Linked DNA regions of Ovis aries. The protein of the gene in region 4 purifies or fractionates together with the protein of the main gene of each other region. This does not show direct contact. Links are inferred from orthologs where the notes say so. Each region holds a gene or a part of one and is shown on either strand. Other genes may lie near its edges. The genes, in order: SMARCC1, SMARCD1, SMARCD3, BCL7C, ARID2, ACTL6A and SMARCE1.

Evidence for each region.
Region 1: the proteins of BCL7C (region 4) and SMARCC1 purify together in Homo sapiens (affinity purification with mass spectrometry; 4 studies listed by BioGRID and IntAct, counting the BioPlex papers as one, with this or other methods). This does not show direct contact. The link is inferred for Ovis aries from reciprocal best matches to the Homo sapiens genes BCL7C and SMARCC1.
Region 2: the proteins of BCL7C (region 4) and SMARCD1 purify together in Homo sapiens (affinity purification with mass spectrometry; 5 studies listed by BioGRID and IntAct, counting the BioPlex papers as one, with this or other methods). This does not show direct contact. The link is inferred for Ovis aries from reciprocal best matches to the Homo sapiens genes BCL7C and SMARCD1.
Region 3: the proteins of BCL7C (region 4) and SMARCD3 purify together in Homo sapiens (affinity purification with mass spectrometry; 3 studies listed by BioGRID and IntAct, counting the BioPlex papers as one, with this or other methods). This does not show direct contact. The link is inferred for Ovis aries from reciprocal best matches to the Homo sapiens genes BCL7C and SMARCD3.
Region 5: the proteins of BCL7C (region 4) and ARID2 purify together in Homo sapiens (affinity purification with mass spectrometry; 3 studies listed by BioGRID and IntAct, counting the BioPlex papers as one, with this or other methods). This does not show direct contact. The link is inferred for Ovis aries from reciprocal best matches to the Homo sapiens genes BCL7C and ARID2.
Region 6: the proteins of BCL7C (region 4) and ACTL6A purify together in Homo sapiens (affinity purification with mass spectrometry; 3 studies listed by BioGRID and IntAct, counting the BioPlex papers as one, with this or other methods). This does not show direct contact. The link is inferred for Ovis aries from reciprocal best matches to the Homo sapiens genes BCL7C and ACTL6A.
Region 7: the proteins of BCL7C (region 4) and SMARCE1 purify together in Homo sapiens (affinity purification with mass spectrometry; 5 studies listed by BioGRID and IntAct, counting the BioPlex papers as one, with this or other methods). This does not show direct contact. The link is inferred for Ovis aries from reciprocal best matches to the Homo sapiens genes BCL7C and SMARCE1.

Annotation. Positions count from the first base shown.
Region 1 is NC_056072.1:52,090,030-52,093,715, reverse strand, and holds part of SMARCC1 (SWI/SNF complex subunit SMARCC1), read right to left. Parts: intron 3,502-3,686; coding exon 3,325-3,501; intron 769-3,324; coding exon 671-768; 3' UTR 1-670. UniProt on the Homo sapiens protein: Involved in transcriptional activation and repression of select genes by chromatin remodeling (alteration of DNA-nucleosome topology).
Region 2 is NC_056056.1:136,217,991-136,221,676, forward strand, and holds part of SMARCD1 (SWI/SNF-related matrix-associated actin-dependent regulator of chromatin subfamily D member 1), read right to left. Parts: intron 2,993-3,686; coding exon 2,857-2,992; intron 884-2,856; coding exon 521-883; 3' UTR 1-520. UniProt on the Homo sapiens protein: Involved in transcriptional activation and repression of select genes by chromatin remodeling (alteration of DNA-nucleosome topology).
Region 3 is NC_056057.1:115,438,099-115,442,345, forward strand, and holds the start of SMARCD3 (SWI/SNF-related matrix-associated actin-dependent regulator of chromatin subfamily D member 3), read right to left. Parts: upstream 2,845-4,247; 5' UTR 2,715-2,844; coding exon 2,637-2,714; intron 1-2,636. UniProt on the Homo sapiens protein: Involved in transcriptional activation and repression of select genes by chromatin remodeling (alteration of DNA-nucleosome topology).
Region 4 is NC_056077.1:27,484,557-27,488,900, reverse strand, and holds the start of BCL7C (B-cell CLL/lymphoma 7 protein family member C), read left to right. Parts: upstream 1-1,523; 5' UTR 1,524-1,683; coding exon 1,684-1,775; intron 1,776-2,318; coding exon 2,319-2,397; intron 2,398-2,755; coding exon 2,756-2,864; intron 2,865-2,959; coding exon 2,960-3,121; intron 3,122-4,344. UniProt on the Homo sapiens protein: May play an anti-apoptotic role.
Region 5 is NC_056056.1:140,602,072-140,605,757, forward strand, and holds part of ARID2 (AT-rich interactive domain-containing protein 2), read right to left. Parts: intron 3,577-3,686; coding exon 3,453-3,576; intron 3,364-3,452; coding exon 3,272-3,363; intron 1-3,271. UniProt on the Homo sapiens protein: Involved in transcriptional activation and repression of select genes by chromatin remodeling (alteration of DNA-nucleosome topology). Required for the stability of the SWI/SNF chromatin remodeling complex SWI/SNF-B (PBAF).
Region 6 is NC_056054.1:208,327,653-208,331,338, forward strand, and holds part of ACTL6A (actin-like protein 6A), read right to left. Parts: intron 1,744-3,686; coding exon 1,643-1,743; intron 1,019-1,642; coding exon 921-1,018; intron 1-920.
Region 7 is NC_056064.1:40,602,566-40,606,806, reverse strand, and holds the start of SMARCE1 (SWI/SNF-related matrix-associated actin-dependent regulator of chromatin subfamily E member 1), read left to right. Parts: upstream 1-1,441; 5' UTR 1,442-1,486; intron 1,487-3,688; 5' UTR 3,689-3,733; coding exon 3,734-3,740; intron 3,741-3,916; coding exon 3,917-3,960; intron 3,961-4,241. UniProt on the Homo sapiens protein: Involved in transcriptional activation and repression of select genes by chromatin remodeling (alteration of DNA-nucleosome topology).

The DNA.
Region 1 (3,686 bases), on a different chromosome or scaffold from region 4:
GTCCTCACTAAGGATAACATTGGGGGGGGTCACTTTTCCCCATCTCTTTAAATTTTGGTGCGTCCATGTGTGGCAAAAGTCTCATGAAACTTCACCATCAGCACCATTCTTAGCTCAGATAAGCAGAAATAAGGTCACTTACAATGCCTTAAGGTTTGTCCCCTCTGGCTATCCCCTCTGCCCATCAATATTTTTTGGTTCCTATTAACTTAGGATGCTCTCCTTTAAAGCAATAATGACCAAAAGGAAAAAAAAAGAAAAGTGATAATGATTATAAAGCATTATCCATATAAGCATAAGACAAAGCAAAAACAGAACAAAACTGCAGGAGAGCAAAAAATGATACAGACATAGACCACTAACGTTGACAGGACCTGCAGACACACTGTCAGCATACCCCACAGCGGGTCAGGGAGACGCCAGGTATTTCAGGGCGACCAGGGCACACTGGCAGCAGTGGCTTCCCCTTGAGTGCTGGAGGAGGACTAACACAGCAGGTGTCAGAGCACGGAGAGGGGTGGCAAGAGGAATGGGGAAAAGTCAGGGTGCGTGCTTGGGGCTGTGAGAAGAAAACTCCTGAAAGAAACCCAAGGAAGCGGAGGAACACAAGTCTTGTCATCCCCACTCCAGCTGGGGGCACTGGGCGCGGACGTCCCCTGTGTCTTTCGGGCTACGGTGCAGCTGAGGCTGGTGGGCCAGGAGCGGGAGGTGGAGGGCCTCCGTCCGCAGGTGCTGGAGGTGGTGGCTGCTGCTGCGGCGGAGGGGGATCTGCAAACACATCCAAAAGGAACTTGTCATTGCCGGAAACACAAGGGGCCTGGGCAAGAGCCCATGCAGAGAAACAGGACTTATAAAGGAAGTTTCTTTATGGCCTGTGAGGCACGGCTGCTGCTGAGGGCTACATGGGGCGGTCCACCTGAACCTCCACGTCACCACCTGTGTGGCTCCCCTGACCCACGCGGCTCGGGGGTGCGGAGGTGTCTGAGTCCGCCCCACTCTCAATCCCTCCAGACCTTTGCAGAACTTAATTATATTTTGATTTTATCATTATCTTAATGGTTCTCACTGCTAATTCTCTCTCTTCAGTTAAATGATAAGCTCCTTCCTGGACAAGTTCTGTGTCTTCTTTGCGTTCTCTCAGAGTGCCTAGCCTAGCTGGGGACGAAACTGCCTATCAGAAACTGCTGGCTTTTATGAACTGTCTCCACCAGGGTCACAGAGATTGACTTGAGGCAGCGGCCAACAAGCTGGATAGCCTGGAGAGGCCCCGCAACTCCTGAACTGTAGTCTTTAAATTTTTGGCCAAAACTAGGTCAGGTCCTGAAGGGAACAATTAGGAAAGGAGCTCTTTCCTATTTCTACTTTGACTGCTTTAGTGTACAAAGCAACCATAGAGATACTTCAATCCAGGGTTTTAAAAACTTCAAGATTTTGCCAGGGATGAAAACGAATTAAACAATTAAAGCACCTCCTTGCTTACCAGCTAATTCATCCAACCTTCCCCTCAGGAGGTGTCCACCCAATTGCTAAGGCTCTTCAAAGCGTTTTGAAGCCCACCGATTTACTCCCTAGTGTCACCTTTCAGGGGAGCAAAGTAAGGCCTGAAGAGGGAAGTGACTTGCCTGATGAGGCCTGCCCAATGCCCTGAAGCCAAATCAGCAGCTCAGGATCCCTGAAATTCATCTGGGGCAGGAAGTGATGGGGAGCACCCCAAACATTCCACACCCTCAAGGTACTGCACTGAGGGCCCTTCAGGATGGAATCATGTATACAAATCAGGTGTTATCAGCAGGACAGGACAGTGGTAAAGACCAATGATATTATGTTTGCAACGGGGATGGCAGCGTGGTCAACCCTCCCAGTCAGCCAGCACATTTTTACACTGCCTGTGGGGCAGCAAGGCTAGGAAAAGAGGTACGCACTAGACTATGATCTCTGATCCTTGATGTAACAACAAAGATCGCTTAAAAAAAAAAGTTTTTTTTATTTATTTGGTTGTACCGGATCATTAGCTGCAGGATCATGCATTAGTTGCATGCAGGATCATTAGTTGCAGCATGTGGGATCTAGTTCCCTGACCAGGGATCAAACCCGGGCCCCGTGCACTGGGAGCGCAGTATTAGCCACTGGACCACCAAGGAAGTCCCTCGTTTCTCAACAATGATCCTGTACTGACCTGGCTCAAGTGCTGTCTTTCTTCTGTGCACCTAAATCTGTCCTTGTTCCTAGGAGTCCAATGAGAAAGGAGATGCACCTGTGTTGATGGCACTTGTCTCCTGGCCCTAGGAAGTCTCCCAGAGAACTATAGTGAGCTCAAGCCACTCAATAGCCTTGTGTAACTTACGGTAAATCCTACACTACTATCCATTTGTTCATGTTTTATTTTCCCAACTAAAGCTCCTGGAGGCCAGGAATACCTCTGCATCCTAGCTCTCTGTATTGTATTATAAATTCATTATTATTACTTTATGTTTTTGTATTATAAATACATTATCATTTTATTATAAGCTGTATTACTATAAACAAACAGGGGCTGACTCCACCTCATGAGAACCCAGGTCCTCCTCTAAAAGGACCTGGGATCACAGATGTGGCGGGGTACATGGCCACTGTCAGCTGCATTTTGGAATCATTACCATGGTCCACAGGGTAAGAGGGCAGGCCAGGCTCTGATGCACCCCTTTGGAGGCCAGGGTTGGAGCAGAACAAGGGTTCCATGGCAAAACCGAGCTGGTTTTGCACACTGCCACAGACACTGTTCATCAGCATATGTGCCCGCTCGATGGAGCCCGCTAAGACTTCAAACTCCTTCTCAACACAGCCCTGAATACTCTTTTCTAAGTCTAAGCAGCCACTACCAATATATTGGACAAAAACTTATTATTATTCTTGCCCTAAACCAGACTCTATTCTTTTCTTTACACTTACCTCTTTTAAATCCTGAATCCATAAAAGGCTCCTGTACAGAAAATAACTACCAGTAGTTCTGTGTATCGACTCAGATTCAAATTAGATAGCCTCAAACAGGCATGGGTGAGGTGTGCCCTTGGCCTTGCCAGAGCCCTTGGTGTCACGAATGCATCCACGAAGGCTATGGAAGGCTCCTGACTAACTGGGAGCACTCTGTGCTCACCACCTGGGTACCTGTCCACCAGGGATGCTGAAGCGCAATGACCAAAGCCCAGGTTTCAGAAGCGCCCCTCACAGGCCATCCTGTCCAGGGATCTGTCACACCCCAGAGGGAACAAACGGTGCTTGCCTCCCTTGTGTACAGCTCTCCCCAAAAGTCCCGAGGGTAGTGCCTCCCCCCACCTGGGTACTTACACATGCCGTTAGGTGCCGTGAGGGGTACCCGGGGTCCTAAGATGTTTCCTGGGATTGGAGGCATACCAGGAGGGGTGGGGCCACTCCCAGGGGGGTGGATGCTGGCTGCAACGGTGGGCATCATGCGGCCTGGCATGGGCTGCCCAGGCATCATGGAACCTGGGCCTGGTATCTGACCTGTGGAGGGAGAGTCAGAGTACTAAGGTAAGGAAGACAGGAATCAACTCACTGCCCGAGAGTGCTAAATACAGATAGACATCTAACCTCCAAAAGGATTGAAAGATCGACAGAACAATAATCTGGAATAATCTGTCTAGCTTTTAATTCAGGGTGGGGTCGGGGACATGGAGGGATGGCATGGA
Region 2 (3,686 bases), on a different chromosome or scaffold from region 4:
AGACTCTCCCTCCCCACCCTTGGAAGGGGCCAAACCCTGCTGACACTGTGACTTCAGGCTCTAGCCTCCAGAACTGTGAGACCATCCATTTCCCTTGTTTAAGCCACGGGAGCCGTGGTACTTTACTAAACCACTAAAACAGCACCCCAAGCCACTCATGCTGTGGACAAGCCCCTGCCTTGTTCAGGGATCCTTCCTGGCACCCCCGTGCCCTGCTCCTCTGGCCAGGCTGGCTGCAGTCAGCACAGGACAGGCGAGAACTGAGGGCGTCTCACATACTGTGCTCACTCCTGCCTTCCTGCCTGAGCCTGCGGTGCTCCTCTCTCTGCGAGCTCCTCTCAGAGAGCACCCCTCTCTCAAATCCCAAATTCTCCAGAAAGCCTTTCCAAGCTATCCTAGTCTCACCAATCTCCCTTCTCCTTTGTTTCATCTTATTGGTACCGGTGAAATTCTGATAATGTCGCACATGATTTATTACTTTTAAAATCCCATTAGCCTGGTTTCTCAAACAGAATGGATGCTACTTTGAAAGCAGGGGCCGAGTTTTGCAGTCTGTATCCCCTACAACGTGAGCACAGTGACAGCACACAGTAAATACGAGATAAACACTTGACGGTTTCATTTCCATTTCCCTACTAGAACACGCTGAAGGAAGTCTGGCCCTTCGCCTCTCCCCGGCTCTCCACCACACGCTACAGACACAGAGCAGACATGTGCCTCTTGGGCCCAAGTCTCTCTGCACCTGTCCCCGGTTCCCTACCTTGAGGTCCCGGCACTGGGACTGTAGCCAGTCGTTGATGAAACCCTGAGGGTCTCTGGCAAAGCTCAGCATGAACTCCCGCTGGGTCTTCAGCTGATTGATAGTCTCTATTGTCTCATGGATCTGAAAGGAAGAAGGAAAGGAAGTTCGTAACATTTCCACGTTGGGGAAAAGCAAAGTTAAGTGGCAGGCAATGTATGACTTCTCCTTGTGCCACTCCCAACCAAGGAACAGAATGCAGCCCCCAAATGGCACTGCTGCCCAGGGCCCCACCTGCTCTGGCGCTTGGCGCTGTCTCTGTCCACCGCCCGTGTGTGAAGTTTTCCTTACAGTCTGCACCATGTCCACTGTGGATGACACTACATGGGAAATTTTTAATCCACAGCACAAACGGAAACTCTCAGGTAGAAAAAAAGTGGTACACAGGGCTGTCTCTGCAGCTGTGGTCCGTGGGTTTTGTTCGCTGATGCTCCACTCTCTTCCTGGTAATTTCATCTACTTGTATGTCTTCCAGCACCACTGACGGTAACGAGTCCCCAGGCTGCAGATCACAGACCATTTTCTACACTCCTACTGATGCATCTGCTTGACACCTCAAGACACCTTAAACTCCCCAAAACAAAAGCACTACCTTTTCCCAAGGCTTGCTTCTCCTGCTCCCAATCTGAATGACTACAACTGCACACTCCAGCTGAAAACCTGGAGGTCTTCATAACACCTCTTCTCCCTCACACCTCACCCCACCTCTCCATCCAGTGTCCAGATCCCTACAGTTCCACCTCAACACCTCCCAAACCTAGCTGCTCACGTCCATCCGTCCTCACGATCAGCGCCGTAAGGTTAGGCCCATAGCATACATCATGCGCATTATTGCACCATCCCCCACCTAGGCTTCCTTCCCCCAGATCTGACCCCCTTACAGTTCACCTCCCACTATCCTGCCAGTGAGCATTCTAAATAAAACAGCACCAGGCCCTCCCATTTTCAGGACAAAGTATAAACCAGTTTACCCTGCCTCAAAGCGGTTTCAGGACTAGGTTCCTGCTTCCCTCTCATTTCTTCCCCCTGGCACCCCGAGCTTTATCTAACACAGTGAAGAGCTGGTGTTTCTTCAACATGCCAGGTTCTCTGCTCATCTCTGGGCCTGCATATGCCCTGCTCCCTCTTCCTGGAATGTCCTCTGCCCCCCACACCCTCAAGTACCATCATCCTTTCTCCCCTTTTCTTGACTCCCATCAGTTCAGTTCAGTCGCTCAGTTGTGTCCGACTCTTTGCGACCCCATGGACTGCAGCACGCCAGGCCTCCCTGTCCATCACCAACTCCTAGAGCTTGCTCAAACTCATGTCCATTGACTCGGTGATGCCATCCAGCCATCTCATCCTCTGTCTTCCCCTTCTCCTGCCTTCAATCTTTCCCAGCATCAGGGTCTTTTCCAAGGAGTCAGTTCTTCGCATCAGGTGGCCAAAGTATTGGGAGTTTCAGCTTCAGCATCAGTCCTTCCAATGAATATTCAGGACTGATTTCTTTTAGGATTGACTGGTTTGATCTTGCAGTCCAAGAGACTCTCAAGAGTCTTCTCCAGCACCACAGTTCAAAAGCATCAATTCTCTGGTGCTTAGTTTTCTTTATAGTCCAACTCCCATGTTGACTCCCATGTCCTTCAAGATTAGGTTGGGGCATCACCTCTTCCAAGAAAGCCTTTCTGTTTTCCTTTGTGTTCCCAGAGCCTTTCTGGCTTTACTTGCATGGACTATGTCTAATAACGTTCACGGTAATAACAACAGAAGCAGCAGCCGCCATTTGTTTTTATGTGCCAGATACAACGTCATGTCTTCACATACATTGTCTCATTTAATCCTCATAACAACTTTAGAAAAATAGGCATTATGGTTTCACAGATCAGAAACTGAGGCTCAAAGCTATTAAGAGATATAGTTAAGAATCAGAACTTATGTGCGTCTGGCTCCAACCAGCACCAGAGTGCCCAGCATATATTGGGTATCAACATATTTTGAACGAATATCAAAAATCAAAGAAGCCAAGAAGCTGTGATAGAGGGCTGGTGACACCCAACCATCCAGGCCATGGTCCCTACCTTGTTGTCTAGGGTAGCAATCTCCTGCTGGCTGGCAGTAGACAGCAGAAAAGAATTCATCTGGGTCTTCAAGGTATCATCCACTTCCACATCAATGTCATAACAAGCTGTCTTCTTCTGATCATTCGGGTCAACACTGAGGAGGAAACCAAGGGGGCCTGGTAAAGGGCTTGTTCCCTAAGACCTAATTACATAAGTCTTAGACTGAAGGGCAAGGAGTTGACTGCAAAAGGGTACCAGAGACCTTGCTGGTGTGACAGAAATGCTCTGTACTCTCCCTGCGGTGGTAGCTATAGGATGTGCACATCAGCCAAAAATCATCAGATTTTAACTGGGTGCAATATACTGCATATAAGCCTCAGTAGTAATGGTAAAAAGTCAAATGGTACAAAAGATAGCCAATGAAAAGTAAGTTTCTCCTTCCCCACAAAGAGACCACTGCTACAGTATCTTTACTTATTAAACTTAAACTGACTCTGAAAATACATTCAAGTAAACACACACCACACAAAATAAAACGTGGCCTAAATTTAACCACATGAATATAGGACAAACTAGCTTCTACTGACCCAGCGTATGGGTTGTAGGAATTACTATCAGCTGAGTGATGATGGTTCAGGGTCTAGCGAAAGGACAGCTTTACTGGAGTTAATATGGAGTAAGGGAAAGAAGGCAAAGACTATGTAGAGCCAGAAGGCATGGTGCTCTGAGGAGAAAGTGCCTTCTTTCACTATCTGCCTAAACATGCCTTGTTCATCCATCTTCTGAACAGAAAAGCAGACAGAGGTAATGGGAGTTGGAGTCTCAGACTGGAATGTCCTACCACCCAG
Region 3 (4,247 bases), on a different chromosome or scaffold from region 4:
AAGCCAGGCAACTAACTGCACAGGGCATCGCCAGCCTCGGATTTGCGGAAGGTGCCGCGAAGATGAATATTAATGGCGCCTTTCAACCTTTTCAAAGGATGCTCCTATCCACACGCTCCTCTGCAAGACAGACTGAGGGCCTTCTATCCCCACTTGACGGATGAGGCAACCGCGGCTCAAGGAGAGAGGCAACCTAGCCAAGGTCATGCAAGGCCCTTTCCTGAGGGGCCCGGGGTTTGTGCCCTCTCTGCTGCTTTCGTTTAGTTCAGGGCTGGCTCTCTTGCTCCGGACTTCTGCCGTCTGCCTTCCCGTTTGCCTGCTTCCCAGTCCATTTCCAGGGGGTCCTGCCTTCCCTGCCTTCCCTGCCTTCAACCCACTTTCCTCTCTGGGGCCCTGCTTTTGCCCCTCCGTCCCAATCCCTGCCCCCTTGCTCTGATTCCCAGCCTCTACCGTCAGGGGCTTGGCTGAATTAGCCCACCTGCATAATTTACTCTCAAGGTGAAGGCTTGGAGGTAGGGCTAGAAGCAGCTTGAGGGGCTGAGGTCAGACCTCACCAGGATTCTCCCATTGAGGGGAGGGGGGCTATGAGGCTTGACTGGTGATGGGTGGTCCAGAGGGCTTGGGTAGGTCAAAAGGATGGACATTTTCTCTTATATCTATCTCTCCCTTCCTGTCTGCCTGAATCACCAGAGATGGCCCCATCCTACAGACTACAACTACTCCCCACCCTACCCCAGTGAGGTCAGAAGTCTGGGTTCCCAGGGGGCACGGGGAGGCAGGTGAGGCAGGTGTGCGCCCTTGCTGCTACCCGGGTGCTCAACTGGGATACAGATGACAACCCAGTGCATCGAGTGAAGTGTTCCACAGACTCGTAAAACCTCACTTGTCCCATTCCAGAAGAGAGGCTGGGGAGGGCCCAAGGGGCTGTCAAGCGGAGGGTGGCCAGGATGTGGACGGGGGCCAGGAGAGCAGGAAGGAGATCAGGGAGCCACGGTCACAGACCCTGTGCCCCTGTTATACTATCTGAGCACCACCCACTCCACCCCAGGGGTGCAGCTGCTCCCAGAACAGGGAAGCGCCCTGCCCCTGAGCCTAGTGAATCTCCTCGCACTGCCCCCCTCCCCCGGGTCCCTCCTGCCCGCGCCGTGTCTAACCCTAACCCCCAGCCAACCAGCTGTCTCTGCCTGTCACAGCCTCAGCAGTGAGACCTGCCTGTCCATGTGTCTGCCTCCCCCACCCCACCTGACCCTGTCACTCACACCTCCAGGGTGGTGGCCCATAATGGAGCCCAGGCCCGCCACTCCCTGCCAGCACAGACAGGGCGCTGGGAGTGGGGCTCAGGCCACCCAAGAACTGAAGCAGTGAGTTGACTTAAAAAAAAATCCACATGTATACACTCTCTCACTCCTAGATGGGCCTTTTATTGGGACACCCCAGGCAGCAAGATCAGGGCTGGTCATGAGGCTAACCAACATGGGGACCCCTTGGAAGTTAGCCTAGGGACCCATGGGCCTGGAGAACAGGCTGCTTTGGGAAAGCCCCTTTCCTCATCAGCTGCTCTCCCATTTAATGAGGCTGGTGGTACTCACTGATCTGCTAAGGAGGCCCCAAGAGGGAGGCCTCCAGAGCCCCTAGAAGGCTGTGCTGGCCAGCGGGGATGGGTGACCTGCCCAAAGGGCCAACATTTTAGGGGCTCTGGCCTCTCTTACTGAGAACGTGTCTTCCTTGGGGTCACAACCAAATTTGGCCATAGTAAACCCGACTGCTTCCTTTCTGCCCGGCTTCAGCACCAGTGGCCGTCCCAAGTCCTGGAGCCTCTGCCTCTCCTATGCCACAGCCCTTCCAACCCGTCCCCACCCCCTCAGGCTCCCTGGGCTCACTCAGGCTCCCAGTGGGCCTTCTAAACCTGCCCCTCTGGTCTCCAGGCCTCCCGTCCCTGACTCCAGCTCTTCCTTCACACCTTTGAGGTGTTAAGGACATCAGCTTCTGGTGGTGGAGGCTGCCAAAGGATCCTCAGACCCCTTAACCTGGGGTCTGCCCCTAGAGAGGGCCTCTCTCTGGCCCTGATTGGCAGAGGCCAGGGGCAGAGCCCCGGAGCCCTCAGCCCAGGATGCAAAGGTGGTTCAGCCCCAGAGCTTCCCACTCACAGCGCCGCCAGGGTCACCTGCTCCTTGCTCCCGAGACACTGTCCCAGCTGATGAACAAGCAGCCCAGCGCAGCGATGCCAAGTCCCCCCACCCCCCACTCCCAGGGCAGGGGTCGCACCTGGGCTCCACCAGGGAAAGAAGGGAAGACAACCCATCGGGTTGTCCCCACAGGGGACCCACCCACCCACTTTGGGGGAGACCGTCCCCAAGTTCTACCCCCAAGCCCCTGACAGGAACCCATGCAAACGCCTGCCTTCCCCGCCCCGGGGCACCCATCCCCGGCCAAGCCGCCTGACGACGTGTTCGGGCGCCCCCAGGGCGCGCCGGCACGGGGCTGGGGCCGGGCCCGCTGGGCCGCGGCGCTCCCGCTAGAGGCGTGGGGTGGGGTGTGGGGGGAGCGGGAGCCCCCTCCCGGCCCCTCCCGACCTTCCCTCCATTCAGCCCGAGCCAGCTCGCTCGCCCTCCCCCGCTAACTTTTCCCCCACTCACCACCCCATGGACCAGAAACTCAAAAAGTTTGCTTTTCGTGGCTTTGCGCGCCCCTCCGGCAACTTCGTCCGCGGCCATCGGGGTGGGCTCAGCGGCGCCTCTCACTCTCTCTCTCTCTCTCTTGCTCTTTCTTTCCCTTTTCTGCCTTTTTTTTTTTTTTTTCCTCCAACTCTCCCCTCTGAGTCCTGCTGGGCTCTCTCACACTTCTACTCGAGCGGAGTGGGGAGGGGGCCCCTTCAGGGCTGCCCTGACGGCCCACGGCCCACGCCGCCGCCGCCGCCGCCGCCCGCCAGCCGCCGCGGCTGCCGCATTCCTGCACTGATAAGACAGAAATAGTCCGGCGGCCCGGGGTCCGCCTGTTGACTCGGCGGGGACGGAGAAGCCTGCCTTTCCCAAGCTTCGCCGGGCCCAAACAGCGCAGATAAGCGGCGAGGCTCGCCGGCCAGCGCGGCTCCGGGCCGCTGGGCAGCGGCGCCGCCTGCCCGAGGCCGCCCGAGGGCCGCGGGGAGGCGGCGGCAGCGGCGGCGGCGCGGGGAGGGGACGCGAGGGGAGGCGGCCGGGGGGCTCGCCGGCCACCCGGCCTCTCTCGCCGCAAATAGTTTTTCGCTTAGGGAATTCGCCGGCAGGGAACAGGCCGGGAACAGGCCGTTCCAACTTTGCCCCCAAGTGGCTCCTGCCGCATTTCTGAGGCCCTTTTCCCCAGAGACCTGGCAGGCCAAGTAGGGAAACATTTCGCTGGGAAGGAATCCGGGGTGGGTGGAGGGGGTGGTGGTGGCGGGGGGCGGGAGTCGAGCCCGGAGGAGGCCTTTCTCCGGCACCGGGCGGCCGTGGTGGGTGTGCCCCGGAGGCGGTGTGCCCTGCAGTCCATAGATGTGTGCGCCCTTGTCTCACCGCTGAGTGTGTCTGCACCCTGGTGTGGGCACGGCCGGCGGCCGTGGGTGTGGATGTTTACGTGCGTGCACAGATAAATGCCTCCTCTGTGTGCCTCCCTCCACCGCAGCCTCCGGTACGCGCGCGCGCGCGGGCGGGCGCGGGTGCGTGTGTGGCTGGACACGGTCTGTGTCTCCCCGCTCGGGGTGTCTATTTCGGGCTATGTGAGTCTTTGTCTCTCTGTGACAAAGTCGAGGCAGTAGGGGAAATTTCGGAGAGAGGGAGGTGGGCCAGGCTCGTGAGAACGGGAAGGGAAGCGTGGGGGCAGGCAAGGAACTGGGGTGGACGGATGGGTGGCGAGGCGGAGGCCAGCGCGACCTGACGGCTTTGGAATGGGCTGGGGGTGGGGGCGGGGGACCCGCAGGAGCTGGGGCGCTGGGTATGGTAGGGCCAATCTCTGGACCCCAAAGTAAGCAGGGGTAGGGGTGGGGCCGTGAGGGAGCCCCAGAAAGGGTGGTGTGGAGGGAGCTGGGGTGAAGGAGGGACAGGAAACAGGAGGGGCGAACCCTGCGAGTCCCCAGGCTGGGAGCACTGGCCCCGCCCACGCCCCAGAGGCCACACCCTTCTCCCCGCCTCCGGGAGGAAGCGCCCCAGGGGCTTTGAGACCAGACGGGTCAAGTTTATGCCTCCCGGGGCTGCACTGTCCGTACCCAGGTGAGGGCAGGACAGGGCCCTGGGGAA
Region 4 (4,344 bases):
AATGAAGAAATTGGGAAGGAGACCTGTGAGTGTGGGAGTATATTGCCATGAAGAGACAATTGCCAGAATAAAGGAAGAAAGGGATGAACTGGCAGAGGGCACAGCAGGTGAGGCCATCGTACTTATTAACAGAGACTGTTATTGGGTATTTACTGTGTGCAAGCCATTGTTCTAAGAGTTATACACATATTAACTCATTCCCATGTTGTAGTTGAGGAAATAGAGATGTGACTTGTCCAAGGTCACTGGACAAGCAGAGGTAGAATTTTACCCCAGCAGTTTGGCTCCAGAAATGTTGGCATAACCACCTTCCTATACCTTAATCCCTCTGAATATAGTCACTGGAAAACACACAGACACAGTAGCCACACCCTTGAAATACACACACACAGCCACACAAATTTAGCATGTCTGCTGATAAACACAGCTTCAAACAAAATCAACCAAGACATACTCCATTTTAAGTAAACTTTTCATTCAAGTAGGGAAAAGTGCATACCATCATAAGCGTACAGCTCAACGAATTTTCCAAGAGTAAACATGCCCTGGGAATCAGCACCAGATTAAGAAACAGAGCATGACCCGTTCCCAGAACCCTCCTCTTAGCCCCTCCCAGTCCCATGGGTGACCGCCCTCCTGATTTCTCACACCATTAATTGATGTTGTCGGTTCTGAACTTCATGTAAATGAAATCATACAATGTGTACTTCTGTATCCTACTCCTTTCATGAGACTTGTCTCCGTTGTTGGGGGTAGCAGGACCTCAGCCTTCTTGCTGGGTCCTCCACGGTGTAAACAGGCTACAGTTCACTTTCCGCTCCCCTGTCGATGGGTTGTTTCCAGTCTGAGGCTATCACAGAGATATGAACATTCCAGGACAGGCCCCTTGGTGCTCATACCCACGCATTTCTGTCGGCTGTTAACGACCTAGGAGTGGAACTGTTGGATCATAGTTTCGCTGAATAACCGCCAGCTTTTCGAAGTAGTATCTCTACCAATTTACACTCCTCCAGAAATATGAGGGATCTAGTTGCTCTACTTCCTCGCCTCCACTTGGTAGGTTTCGTCGTTTTCATTTTAGCCGTTTTGGTGGGTGAAGAATCAGTTATATGCAGTGTCAGGCACGTAATTGGCACTCAGACTGTTGAATGAATGGATGAAGGGGTAGTAGAACAGTGTAGAACCTGATAGCCTGGCGAGAGAGACACACACCCACACCCACAGCGTCCCAGGGACGTCCCCACGCGCAGCGGTCTCACACGGGACGTTGACCCTCTCTCGCCCCCTGGCGCCCACGTGGCTTGAACGCACGGCCGCAGCCCCGCCGCGCGCGTCCAGTCGCCCAGCTGCCCCCAACCTGCCTCTCGGCGGCGGGCAGGGGGCGCTGCGCGTCCGGGTGCCCCGAGGGGGCGGGCCCGGTTGGGGCGGGGCCGGCCGACTTCCAGGCCTGGGCTCTGGCCGCCCGCGCCGCCCGGCCGCTCCGGGGACGGGCCGGGGCGGGGCGCGGCGGCAGGAAGCGGGGCGGGGACTCGCGGAGGCGTTGGGGGAGCGAGGGAGGGCGCGACCAACTCCCGGAGGGACGACGGGCCGAGAGAGCGGCGCCCCGGCCTGGCGCCGAGCCTGAGCCCGCCGGACGGGAGGCGGCCCAGCCGCGGGCTCGGCCTGGGCCCCAGCCCCGCCAGCATGGCCGGCCGGACCGTGCGGGCCGAGACCCGGAGCCGGGCCAAGGATGACATCAAGAAGGTGATGGCGACCATCGAGAAGGTCCGGAGATGGTGAGCGCTGCCCCGGGGCCAGGGACGGGACCCGATGGGCCACTCCTCCCCCAGATAAGTCTACCCGCGCTTCGCCAGCTGTGCCGCCCAGCTGCGCGCCCGAGCTGCGGGGCTCTGTCTTCCTTCTGGCTACACCCTGGGGTCTACAAAGCGTGTTCCCCAGTCCTGCCCTCCAGAAGCTGGAGCCCCCGTTTACGCCCCGCCCCCTGAAGCTTTGACACTCCTCCCGCGAGTGTGCTGGGGATCTTCATTGCTAAGGTCCCCAGCCGGCCTCAGAGTCCGAGCTCTCCATGTGTATACCCCAGGGGTCTGCAGAGCCGCGACCCCAAGTCACACTCTCTCTAGAAGCAACTCCCCCCCAGCCCCTGCCAATCTGTGCCCTCGGGTCTGCAGGTTTTCTCCCTCTAACTATGTCCTCTTAGCAAAAGTGCCCCTTCCATCAGGGCATCACCCCCACATCTCGGGGTATCCCCAGATGTGTCCCACTCCCGGGGTGGCCCTCCCCTCAGGCCTCTCTGACCCAGTCCCCCCACTATCCCACAGGGAGAAGCGCTGGGTGACTGTGGGCGACACTTCCCTTCGTATCTTCAAGTGGGTGCCAGTGGTGGACCCCCAGGAGGAGGTGAGCAAGTCCCCCCCCCTCCACCCCCGTCCCAGGCCCTTCTTCTGTGTAACCTCGGGCAAGCCCCTCCCCACCCTGGCCTCCACCTCCAGTCTCCACTCAGAGCTCAAATGCAGGAGCACAGACAGATGTTAACAATTAATAGCAACTCCGCCTCTTCCCCTCCCCCCCCATCACCAGACCTCGGTCCCCCGCCGCCCCCACTTCCCGGGTTCAAGACCTAACCCAGCGTGCACAACCCATCACCTCATGCGGGGCCTTCCGCTTCTCTCTGCCTCAGTTTCTTTATTTGCACAGTGGAGGCTTGGCAAGTGCTAACCAGAAAGCTGCCTCTGACCCTTAGCTCTCTAACCCCCAGGAGCGCCGGAGGGCAGGTGGAGGGGCAGAGAGATCCCGAGGCCGGGAGCGGAGGGGCAGAGGCGCCAGTCCCCGAGGGGGCGGCCCTCTCATCCTGCTGGATCTCAATGGTAGGTAGGGATGCTGGGATGTGGGGGGGGCTGTGGGCATTAAGGGAAGGGACTGGGGCCTCAGGCCCAACCCTTTTGGCTTTTTTCCCCCACAGATGAGAACAGTAACCAGAGTTTCCATTCGGAAGGCTCCCTGCAGAAGGGCACGGAGCCCAGCCCTGGGGGCACCCCCCAGCCCAGCCGCCCTGTGTCACCTGCTGGACCACCGGAAGGGGTCCCAGAGGATGCTCAGCCCCCACAGCTGGGCCAGGAGAGAGGTAGGACCAGGCGCCTCGCAGGAGCCCTCTCCACTCCAAAGTGGAAGCCACCAGCTTGCCCCTCTGCCAGCTCTTCCTCCTAAGTTGCCTCCCTGAGTTCTGTGGAAAGTCCCTGCCCTTCCTCTAGGGACTGTCTCTCTCCTTCTCTGGCTTCTTAGCTTCTGTGGACAGCTTATCACTGTCTGAGATTTTCATGTAGATTTAGCTTCGTACTAGTTAAATAGCTTTCTTTCCCCCTCATGTCAGCTTCCTGACTGTTGGGCCCACGTTGACCTTGTTCACTGGTATTATCCTCAGAACACCACGGAACACATAGTAGGTGCTCGATAAGTATTTGCTGGGCCTTCCCTGGTGGCTCAGTCCATTGGGTCTCAAAAGAGTCAGACATGACTGGGTGACTAAACAGCAGCCAGATAGCTCAGCTGGTGAAGACTCCGCCTCCAATGCAGGAGACCTTGGTTGGATTCCTGGGTCGGGAAGATCCCCTGGAGAGGAAATGACAACCTGCTCCAGTATCCTTGCCAGGATAATCTCCTGGACAGACCGGTGGGCTGCAGTCCATGGGATCCCAAAGGGTTGGACATGACTGAACATGCATGCACGATAAAACAATTGTGAAACTCATAAGAGTGATTAATAATAAGTGATAATATAACTGCTCGTATTTACTGAGCTAAGCACTTTCCATGTTTTATCTCATTTAATCTTCACTACACCCTATGAGGGTTATGATCTCTATTTATAGATGAGAAACCAAAACTCATAGAGGTTAAGTAAATTACCTAAGCACACACAGCCAGTGAGCTAGGATCTTGGGCATGAGTCCTCCTCGTGTGTCTTCCCCTAGAGTCAGTCCCCTGTCTGGTCAGATTCACTTCCCGGGTGTGTTTGCCTTCCCCTGCCTCCCCAGCTCTGTCATCTCTCCCGCCCACACCTGGCTCCAGCCTCCGGGATCTTCCCTCCTCCAGTTGTACCCCCACTGAACACAAGTTTGACAAGGTTCTTTTCCTGCTGCAAAGCCTTCAGTGATGCCCTATGACCTTTGACTCCTCAACCTGGCACTCTGGGCCCTTCATGAACTGTCCCCTACTGACCTCATTGTTCCCATCCAAGAACACCCTGATTTGGGCCTATGTTCCATGTCTAGATCATTCCACACACTTTTGTACCTTTACTAATATAAAGACAATAATTCGCATTTATCGAGCACTTACTCTGTGCCA
Region 5 (3,686 bases), on a different chromosome or scaffold from region 4:
CTGGAAGTTCTTCATTCACATACTGCTGAAGCCTTGCTTGAAGGATTTTGAGCAATATCTTGCTAGCATGTGAAATGAGCACAATTGTATGGTAGTTTGACCATTCTTTGGCATTGCCTTTCTTTGGGGTTGGAATGAAAACTGACTTTCTCCCATCCTGTGGCCACTGCTGAGTTTTCCAAATTTGCTGGCATACTGAGTGCAGCACATTAATAGCATTATCTTTTAGGATTTAAAATAGTTCCAGTGGAATTCTATCACTTCCACTAGCTTTGTTCGTAGCAATGCTTCCTAAGGTCCAGTTGACTTCACACTCCAGGATATCCGATGCTAGGTGAGTGACCCCACCATTGTGGTTATCCAAGTCGTTAAGATCCTTTTTATACAGTTCTTCTGTGTAATCTTGCCACCTCTTCTTAATATCTTCTGCTTCTGTTAGGTCCATTCCATTTCTGTCCTTTATTGAGCCCATTTTTGCATGAAATGTTCCCTTGGTATCTCTCTTTTAGAAGAGATCTCTAGTTGTTCCCATTCTATTGTTTTCCTCTATTTCTTTGTACTGTTCACTTAAGAAGCCTTTCTTATCTCTCCCTATTATTCTTTGAAGCTCTGCATTCAGTTGGGCATATCTTTCTCTTCTTTCTCCTTGCCTTTCACTTCTTTTCTTTTCTCCGCTAACTGCAGGGCCTCCTCAGACAACCATTTTGCTTTCTTGCATTTCTTTTTCTTTGGGATGGCTTTGGTCACACCCTCCATAACAGAAGAAGCAAGAATTGCAATCCTATGGCCTCCAGAATGAAAACCACATCACAGAAAACTAACCAAAATGATCACATGGATGCCTTATGTAACTTAATGACCCTTATCCGCCACCCTAGATGGTTGGGTCATGGTGGAGAGTTCTGACAAAACGTGGTCTACTGGAGAAGGGAATGACAAACTCCTTCAGTATTCTTGCCTTTAGAACCCCATTGACAATATGAAAAGGCAAAGAGATATGAAACTAGAGATGAGCCCCTCAAGTCAGTAGGCGTCCAATATGCTACTGGGTAAGAGTAGAGAAATAGCTTTAGAAAAGGGGCTGAGCCAAAGCAAAAACAATGACCAGTTGTGGATGTTTCTGGTGGTGAAAGTCAAGTCCAATGCTGTAAAGAAACATATTGTTAGGAACCTGGAATGTTAGGTCCATGAATCAAGATAAATTGGATGTGGTCAAACAAGAGGTGGCGAGAGTGAACATCGACATTTTAGCTATCAGTGAACTAAAATGGACTGGAATGGGAGAATTTAATTCAGATGACTATTATATCTACTACTGTGGGCAAGAATCCCTTAGAAGAAATGGAGTAATTTAATCACTCCATAATTACTACTAATTACCATAATCAACGAGAGTCCAAAATGTAGTACTTGGGTGCAGTCTCAAAAATGACAGGATGATCTCAGTTCCTTTCCCAGGCAACCCATTCAACATCACAGTCATCCAAGCCTATGCCCCAACCACTAATGCCAAAGATGAAGCTGAACAGTTCTTTGAAGACCTAAAAGACCTAGAACTAACACCAAAGATGTCCACTTTATCATAGGGGACTGGAATGCGAAAGTAGGAAGTTAAGAGATACCTGGAGTTAATAGGAAAGTTTGCCCTTGGAGTACAAAATGAAGCAGGGCCAAGACTAACAAAGTTTTGCCAGGAGAATGCAGCACTGGTCATAGCAAACACCCTCTTCCAATAACACGAGAGATGACTCTACATATGGACGTCACCAGATGGTCAATACTGAAGATGGAGAAGCTCTATACAGTCAGCAAAAACAAGACCTGGAACCGACTGTGGCTCAGATCATGAGCTTCTTATTGCAAAATTTACACTTAAATTGAAGAAAGTACAGAAAACCACTAGGCCATTCAGGTGTGGCCTAAATCAAATCCCTTATGATTATACAGTGGAAGTGACAATAGAGTCAAGAGATTAGATCTGAGAGATACAGTAGGGTGGAAAGCCATATGAAAACCCACTTACAAAACGTAAGATGAAATGTTATAAAACAGAAATGTTATAAACACAGACTCAATGAGGAAGAGGAAAACAGCACAGGAAAGGCAGCACACAGACGCCAGCGTCTGAGCTGGATTAGGGAAGGCTTGCAGATGCTCAATGGGCCTCAACCCAGGGAAGATACAAAAGTGTGACATGAAAGACATCTAGGGTGGATGGAATCTGCATGCGGTTCAATTTGGCTAAAATTGATATGCAGCCAAAGAAGGAGTAGGAAGAGAAATATAGTGAGACAGGAAGGAAGAAATGATACTATAAATGCAATTGGGAGATGCTAGTGACAAAACCTTCTTATTTCTTTTCTGAAAAAACTTTATTTTTAATTTGAATGTTAAGAATTTTTTCTTATTCCTCTGTGGGAATACTTGATTCATGAAATATAGTAACTTTCGTTATTGCAAACACTTTTTTTAAACAAGTTTTATTCGCTTTAAATTTACCTAAGTTTTAAAGTTTGATATTAAAGTAATTGCTTCTTTGTAATTGATGCCTCTGTTTTTTTGCTCAGAAAGTCCAGTTGGAATGTAACTACAAGGAATATTAAGATCCAACACAAAGTAAAATAGGAGGAGGAGAACCAAGGTAGATTCGATTAACAGCATGTGAGAAGAGAAAAAGTAGGAGAGAAAAGCACTGTCTGGAAGGCAAGATGCATTAAAGCATGACTTCCCAACTAACGAGCCCAAGTTGAGTCAGCTGAAGATGGAGGAAGAATACTAAAAGATTATTTTCAAGGTTCAAAGGAGACAAATCTACATTTGCTTTCTCAAGAGTTAGAGCTGTTTCCAGTTTCCATAGATTTATAAAATACTAAGTTTTCTCGTAAGTCCAAGAATCTTAGCATATCTATGACTTTGATGGTTTCATCAAAACGGCAATTATCAAACTGAATTCCATTCTAATTCCACATGATTCAAGTAACGAATTCCTTTTTCCTCCTAGTAAACTCCCAAGTGTTCTTTGGTAGACCTACTTTTTCCTCTAAATGCTATGATGAACAAGAAATTTAACTTGAACAAGTTCAAGAACACCTTTTGGTTGTTTCAACTTCCACTTTTGTGGCTTTTAAGAATCTACGACAGTCTACTTTGACATAAGCTTTTGGACATCCAAAAATTGATGAGAAAAACAGTGAATACAATGCAGATATCTAAACTTACAGGTAACAGTAAAATAAAAATTCACTCTGACTACAGAAAACAGATTACTCACCTGCGACCACATTCTGAATATTTACCAATGTTTTTTAATATTAAGGCAGCTGTTAGTCGGATGTGTTTAGTTATTGGTCCCTCTTTTTCATCCTTAAAAAGGAAAAGAAAAGAAAAAGAATAAAGGTCTAAATCATACAGTGTTCACACCTTCACAGTTAAGGCTTCCAAGGCTTACTTACTGTAAAGTCTCGAAAGACAAGATTTCTTGATCCTCTCCTTAGAGCCATAAGGGCAGCACTGGGATGATTCACAATGGCCTTTTGTGCTCTAGGAGCTGAGCTTGTGCCCCCTACAGCTGGCTGCCTAAATATACCAGGGAGAGGAAGAGACTGTTAACATGACAGTTCAGGCAGACTGACAACAAATGACTAACCTGCCAAACCTGAACGTGGTTATCGAGGTAGACACAGCGT
Region 6 (3,686 bases), on a different chromosome or scaffold from region 4:
TGATTCTCACACATGTAAAATTCACTTGAATATTATAGCAATCCAGGGAGGTACACAGGATAAATGTATAAAAGGTGAGGCTGATTTTAAGTACCTAAATCAAGATCAGTTTATCAGCACTGTTACTTGAACTCTAAATATAGGACTCCTTTCCCTTCACCTTGCAACTAAATTCCCTCACTTTTTGGGGGGGAGGGGGGTGGCGGGCGCACTACATGGCGTGCGGGATGTTAGTTCCCCAATCAAGGATTGAACTCATGTCCCCTGCACTGGAAGTGCGAAGTCTTTAACCACTGACTGCCAGGGAAGTCTCAAAATTCTCTTTTCTTTACAAGGTTTGTCAGGCTTCAATCTTCCTCCACTGAACTATAATTGCTATTTGAAAATTTCAGATGAATCATGTACTTCTTTATGACTTTTGCCAGTGCTATTTTGAAGTACTATTTAAATGTTATTTAGTTTTCAACAAGAATATTACATTATTCTTTGAGGTCAGGACATAGTATTTCCTTGTCTGTTCCTTAATATGCTCATAAAAAATACTTGGTGATTAAATCTTAAATGAATTTATAGACAACTTCCACTTTTCTCAGGCATTGGAGAGGAGGAAGGAAATGACACTCTTTGAACTCATCTAGGCCTTCTCTTCACATTCCCCTTCTAAAAACACAATTTTTAAAAAACTTTGTTAAATTAATGAGCAGAATTTGAGTGTTTATTTCCCATCTCCGTCTCACACTTTCATGCACATCAGTTCCAGTAAGAAATACTGAAAGAAAGGTATCCAAAAAGCAATGGGGAAAACTCCCTCAACTTCTGACAAGCAAGAACTGACTCCTGTCTTCCTGCTGAGCACATCACCTTTAGCAGAACCACAGTCACTCATGAAGAGAAGCTGAGTATTACTCTTTCAAGGATACGCTGTCAAAACGGCAGTTTTGCAAAGGAAGAATGCAGGAATGTTGTAGTGTTCAAACATCAGCTCTGTCAGTTTCTCTCTCTTTGCTCTGGTATTCCACTTGAGAGTAGGGAAAAAGAAATGCAAATTACTTATTGTTTAAAAACTAAAATGCTGATTTATCTCAAAATTCATTTCAGTACTGTATTAACAAAAATGTAAAACATTAAGTTACCATGGAAAATCTTCATAATATCTTTACAACATTTATCTCTATGTATTTGTAATAAATTTAATAAAGTTTATTATCTGAAAAGTAAAATTGCTGCTATGAATTCTAGAAACTACAGACTTTTCAAAGTATAGAGTAATCAGGATTCTTATAAACATGAAGTATTAAATCTTAAGAATGAATCTAGTCACTCCTAAGATTGAGTAAAAAAGCAGATATACACTGCCCTTGAGCGATAAGGGACAATTCATGAACCAAAATGGGAAGCAGTCAAAGGAAATTAGATATTAAATTCCTGGAAAAAAATAGATAAATAACTGCCAGAACCCACTGGGTGCTTTACTGTTGTTCTTTGAGTATTTTTATTATTGAAATAATAAAAGTTGTAAGAGTATTTAAAAAAGAATCCCCCTTTCCCTCATTTTCAAAATATGAATTTCTATATCTCTTTAAAGAAAAAAAGTAAAATGAGTAAAAAAACAACCTAGAAAACTTGAAAAAGTTTGTCTTACTGGTGCTTCTGACATGAGAACAGGATGCAGGCTGGCTTCTGATTTGACATGCATTTTGTAGGTATGATCCAAAATAGCCTGGAAACTATCCCAATCTTCAACTAGAATATAAGATAAATACCTTGAAAACAATACTTAGTTGGAGATGAATACAGCATCTTCTGAGAGACTGTTTCTAATGGTTTAGCACTGATACTTTAATATACAGAACTGACTTATTTTACAGCTCTACCTCATAAAACAGTACTTCATATAGACATTAGCTTTGTCTTCTAGATATGGCTCCTCCAGCCCCAACAGTACCGTAACCCCTAGACCTGACCCAGATAAAATTAAGGTATCTAACACACCTAAAATACCAAATAAATAGTATTCGGTTAAGTACTAACTATAAAGCCCAAAGCACAATTCAAATTGTAAGAGGAAACAGAATTGCATGATTTGGAGCTAACAGCAACAATCTGTATGAAAAAAAGACATAAAAACATTATAAAAAATTTAAAGAAGAATATGTTTTCAATTTGCTTTCCATTAAAACATTACACTGACTGCTTGCGTAAGTCACTAACGAACGTCCAACAGGTAAGCCCAGTGGATCCTTTGCGTCTGCAATCTCACCTAACCTCTCTAAATTACTGACACCATTGATTCAAGAGTTCACAAACTTCTTCTGCCACAGACCAACAAAGAATGGCATCATCTGTACACCATGTTAGTATTGTTATAGGCCTATCAGGATGGGTTTAACTCACTGCTCTGTTTTCTGGGGGCTGCTAGGCCTTCGTTGCTCCCCAGGGGCTGCTCTCTAGTTGCAGTGCTCAGGCTTCTCACTGTCGTGGTTTCTCCGGCTGCAGAGCGCACGCTCCAGGGTGCACGGGCTCCAGCAGCTGCTTCACGTGAGCTTAGTTGCCCTCCAGCCTGTGCCATCTTCCTGGACCAGGGATTGAACCCACGTCCCCTGCATTGGCAGGCGGACCAGTGAAAGTCCAGAATGGGATATTTTGGTCAAGGCACTTCCTCTATAGCTTTAACTTCTCTTTCCCCTTCTTAGCATAAATCTCAATGCCACAGTTAAGAACATGAGACTCACTGGACTTCTTCTCGAGTTTTTTCTTTTCTTGGTTTTCTCCTGAATTTTCTCCTACTTCTCTAACTGTTCATCTCATTCCCCTTCATAGGCACCTCTACTGGTTAAATACGGAGTAACTTTCCATAAGGAATCTCACCCTCAATCCTGTTTTCACCTCCCAAACTCTTTCTGGGTGGAAAAAAAAAAAATCAATTCCATGTCTTAAAATCACTCTTACTTGCTTATTAAACCAGCATCTATACTCAAACACTTTGAACTAATAAACTCTTGCTATGCAGAAAGAGTTAACTCAGCAAACCTGAGAAAGGCCTGCTTGCAAGGCTGACCCTTGGCTGGCATCTGGGAACTTGTCTGGTAAACAGTTTCCTACATTGATATAAAACTTTCCCCAAATAAGAGTAGTTCACTGTGCCTAAACCATTTATACAAACAGTGTGGTTTAAACTGGGAGTCTGGGGTTTTGGAACATGTTGGGCACAAGGTACCTACATGACCAGTCACCAATAAAAACCATGGGTACTGAGTCCTTTTTTTTCTGAATCCAAAAGATAGTTATTTATTCCAAGTATCAGGATAATATAAGAAATAAAATATTTGTAACAAAAAATATTCTTCCAGTTCTTTAGCAGTTCTATAGAGATATAATTTTCCATAACATGAATTTTATGTGTACAATGAAGAGATTTTCTTCTGTAAAGCTACACAGTTGTGTGACTCTTATTACAACATAATTTTAGAATAGTTCCATCACCTCAAAAAGAAACTGTATGCCCTTTAACAGTCACTTCTCATAATATCCACAGCCCCAAGCAACTGCTACTTTACTTTCTGTCTGTATAAATTAGCTTTTCCTGGTCATTCCATATTAGAGTAAGTGATTCCACATTATGTGGAATTTTGCATCTGATTTCCTCCATTTGGCATAAGGCTTTGGGGTTCATCAAAACCCAACTG
Region 7 (4,241 bases), on a different chromosome or scaffold from region 4:
TTTCACTAATCTCTAATCATGAACATGAAAATATTGGAGGTGGAAGAACTGGACAGAGGGTCACTTGTCCCTGGCTTTGCATACTTCTGGAGATACCCTAGTCCCTGCTGGCACACCCAGGATGGTGGCTAAGGGTAGCTGAAGAATCAAGTCATTCTAAACGTCAACACCATTCTCAAGTGATTTCAGATCCTTCCCCTCTCTGCAGTGGCGCACGTCGGTCAAGTGTTTATGTATCCAAGGAGAGGCTGCTATCTAGTACATCAACGTGGTCATGATTTAGTGAAAAGAGTCCTGGACTAGACCATAGCCTGCCTCAATATAGATTTACTGAGCTTCTTACAATGGTTCAAGGCCTTACTGGGCACTGGCTATAGGAAGATGACCAATGCAGACCGCTGAATTTTTGCTTTCAAGGCTCTCATAGAGTACTGAGAATAACAAACACAGTCTGATACAATGTATTAGGTAAAGGCCATAATTGTTAATTTGGGAGGAGGAGGGGCGCGTGAGGCAGGGAGTTCCCGGAGGGCATCAGGGACAGAATTTGAGCTGGATCCGGAAGGACAGATGAGTTTAAACCCAAAAGTGAAGGACTGTCGTTCCTGGCAGAGGAAACCGAATGAGCCAAGGCGCTTTAGGACACAGACCCCTTGCCCAGCGCTGCAGGGACACACAACCGGGGGCAAGGAGATTTACATCTCCGGGCCTTGGCTCAGAAACCTGTGACAATTACACCAGCCTTGCGCTTGGGAACAGCTGGGAAGATCTGCGCTGCTTTCGCCAAAGCTCTTGCCCGCGGTTAAGGCAGGAAGCCCTGGGAGGCGCGCAGGAGGACGGAAACTGTAAACCCGGCTCTCCACGCCTCCATCCTCGGCTTGGTGAAGTATATACACTCCAGCTCCCAGAGAAAGAGTCAAGAAAAAGACCGGAAGGGAAAAAAAACCCAGAAACTCTCGGGGGCAGGGACGGGGGGCGTGCGCGGCCTGAGCCCGGCCGGGGTGGTGCGCGGGCCGCGCGGCCACAGAGGTTCCGGGGCTGGCGACCGGGCGCGCTCCCCGCCGCCTTCCGGCCCCGCGCGGGGAAGCTGAGGCCGCGCTCGCGCCCCCCCTCGGCTCAGCCTCGCGCCTCCCGCCGCGCCTCCCGTCCCCGCTCCGGCTCGCTGGGGGCCGCGCGGCCGGGCCTACCCGCGGCCGGGCCACCTCCTCCCTCTCCGGAGTGACGAATCGGCGCCCGGCTGGCAAAGTACTGACTTTCGGGGAGTTTTGAGGAGCGTATGGAGCCTGAAAAAAATCCTTGACTGTGCTAAACACCACCGCGTCCCCACGAGAACGCTTATTTTCCTGAAGAGAGTCGGGTGGGGCCTGGAAAGGAATTAAGAAGAGTGTTGAAAGTGCGAGCGCGGAAGCTCGGGACGCGAGGGGCGGGGCGTGCGCGGGACAAAGGGAAGCGAGGCCGGAGCTGCGGGCGCTTCTTCTGCCCGCGGGTGAGTGTTTCCGACTGGGCCCGGCTGGGTCGGGAGGGTGGAGAGGCGTGGGGTCCCGGCTTGGCTGGGGTTGCTGAGGGTTGCTGGGGTTCAGGCTTGGCCGCGGGACCAGGGCCGGGGGCCGGCTGCGGCCTCTTTGAGGCCTAGCGGAGCGAGGGTGGGGAGAGAGTCCCATCTGGGGCTCCTCTTGGGCGGCCAGAAGTGCCCCTTCCACTAACCCCACGGAAGTGGTCAAGGCGCTTCTGCATGCTCCTCTTCAGTAGAGTAGCTGGTAAAGTGCACCTACACATCAAACCAAACCGAATCGGTCTCAGAGGAAGCCCTTGGGGCAAGCTAAGCCCGTGGTCCTCACCCCCAGGAAGATGGTTTCCCCTTGCCCAGGCAGCGATCTGAGGACTCACGGTGTGGCTTGGAGTGAAAAGCGAAAGCTGGGCAACAGTTTGGCCTGGGTTTGAAACCCAGCTCTGACACTTCCTGACTCTGTGTCTTGAGCCAAGTTACTTATACTGAACGAGACTCCTTTTTTCCCTCTGTAAAATGGCAATAGCAGTACACACCTCGTTGGTAGTGTGACTGTTAAACCAGATGGTGTGAAAGTAGTAAGCCTGTCCCGTATAAGGTATTCAACAAATAACTTCTCCAGGATTTTATGCCAGGCACCGGAGATGCATACAGTGGTGGACAATTGTACGAGATCACTCTTGAAATTTATGGTATAGCAAAAGAGACCAGTAATTTTAGAGTGTTAATAAAATGTGACACACCTGGGAGCTTGTGGCAGATATTATCAGGGCCCCCCACAGCAAGGCCTACTGGATGTTGACAGCCCACCCAAGCTTGAGCAGGAAGGAAATCTGCATTAGACTCTGGTGTCCTGCATGTACCTTAAGGAGAGAGGGAGACCCAGGTTGGGCCATTGAGAAAATAAATGATTTCTTTCTTTCCACACCAGGCCTCTTACTCATAATGCTCCAGAAATGCCCTTAAAATACAAAACAGGAGCAAAAAAAAAATCATGTTTGTTTCTCATAATGTCGGATGAAAATACTCTAGTAGTCATAGAAGTTATTTGCCTTTTTTGTGAAAATGAATGTTCATCTCTTTGTACACATGGTGTGTAATGTATAGTGAGGTAAGGAACAAGTTCACGTGTGTGTGGTCATGTCCTGAGCTAGTGTTACTAGGACTGAAGTTGGTAAAAATTGAGCTAGGTACTGGGACAGCAATAATGAACTAGCTGGTCCCTGTCTCCATTCAGCCCCCATATTAGCAGGTGTAATATGATATTGATCTGTGTAAATTGGAGTACAAATGAGGAAACATTTAATTTTGTACAGATAGGTCCAGAAGTCTCCATTGAGGAGATATATTTTGAGTTGAGCTAAGAAAGATCAATAAGAGTTTTTTCCAGTAGACTCTCGAAATTTATTCCCAGCGGTTATGAAGCTGTTTACCATCATGTTGTTTTTTAGTGGCTCAGTTGTGTCTGACTCTTGCGACCCCATGGACTATAGGGTACCAGGCTCCTCTCTCCATGGGATTCCCCAAGGGAGAATACTGGAGTGGGTTCCCATTTCCTTCTCCAGGAGATCTTCCCAACCCCGGGATTGAACTCAAGTCTTCTGCGTTGGCAGGCGGGTTCTTTTACCGCTGAGCCACCAGGGAAGCTCCATTACTCCTATAAGAGAATGTGAAGTTTCTTGTCACACCAGTTACCTTTTCCACTGCCTTCAGGAGTAAAATGCTGTTTTACTAGAAAGAAGTTGTTATCCTAAAAGGAAGGCAGAGCTGTGGCTGGTCATGGAGCTGTCAGTGTCTGGTAGGCCTTGTTGAGGTAGGCCCCAATAATACATCATATTCTTTTGTCATTGTATTTTTACCGATTTGATTAAATGTTTACATGGCATCAGCGAAACGTTTTCCATACAAGAGGTGGCTCAGTATCAAAAAAAAACAAAAACTTGCAAGTACATGTCTAATTTTACTTTTTAATATCCCCTGTCATTTGTTTTAGTCATTTAATTCTGATCAACTGAGTGACCTAAAGAACTAGTAAAATATTTAAAAGGCTTGATTACTAGAAGATAATGTAATTTTACAAAGAAATATCAAACTACCCTATTCTTTAGAAAAACATTCTCTTATGCTTGCTGAGTTTTGATTATCTTTATTTTTCTTTTTTTTTCCTTTTTTTTATTTTAGTGTCTCAGATTCATTCTTAAGGAACTGAGAACTTAATCTTCCAAAATGTCAAGTAAGTTTCATTTTTTATATTTATCAATCTATATTAATAAGAGACTAATGCCCTAGCAAATGGGAATTCCAAAATACTCTCATTTTTTTTTCTTCAAAACAGGACCATTGGTAGTTTTGTTGCATAGTATTATATCTCAGTTGTTTACAAGAAGTTATTTATTTTCTTTCAAACAGAAAGACCATCTTATGCCCCACCTCCCACCCCAGCTCCTGCAACAGTAAGTTTTAATTTTCTTGTTAATGTAATAGCCAAGTCTGGCCTTGATACAAAAACCCAGATGTCTTCCAGTGACAGTCACTCAATCATTACAGCAACAGGATGAAAAATTCAGCTAAAAAACAGCACTTCCTACTAAATAAAATAACTCTGCATCTTACCTTGAACCAACCCCAACATTTAAAGAAACATACTACTGAAATGCCAACCTCCTATGCTCAGTTCTTTTTTTAATTAGAAATAAGTGGCAAGTTTAACACTTTTCTTGTTCATCTCTATTAA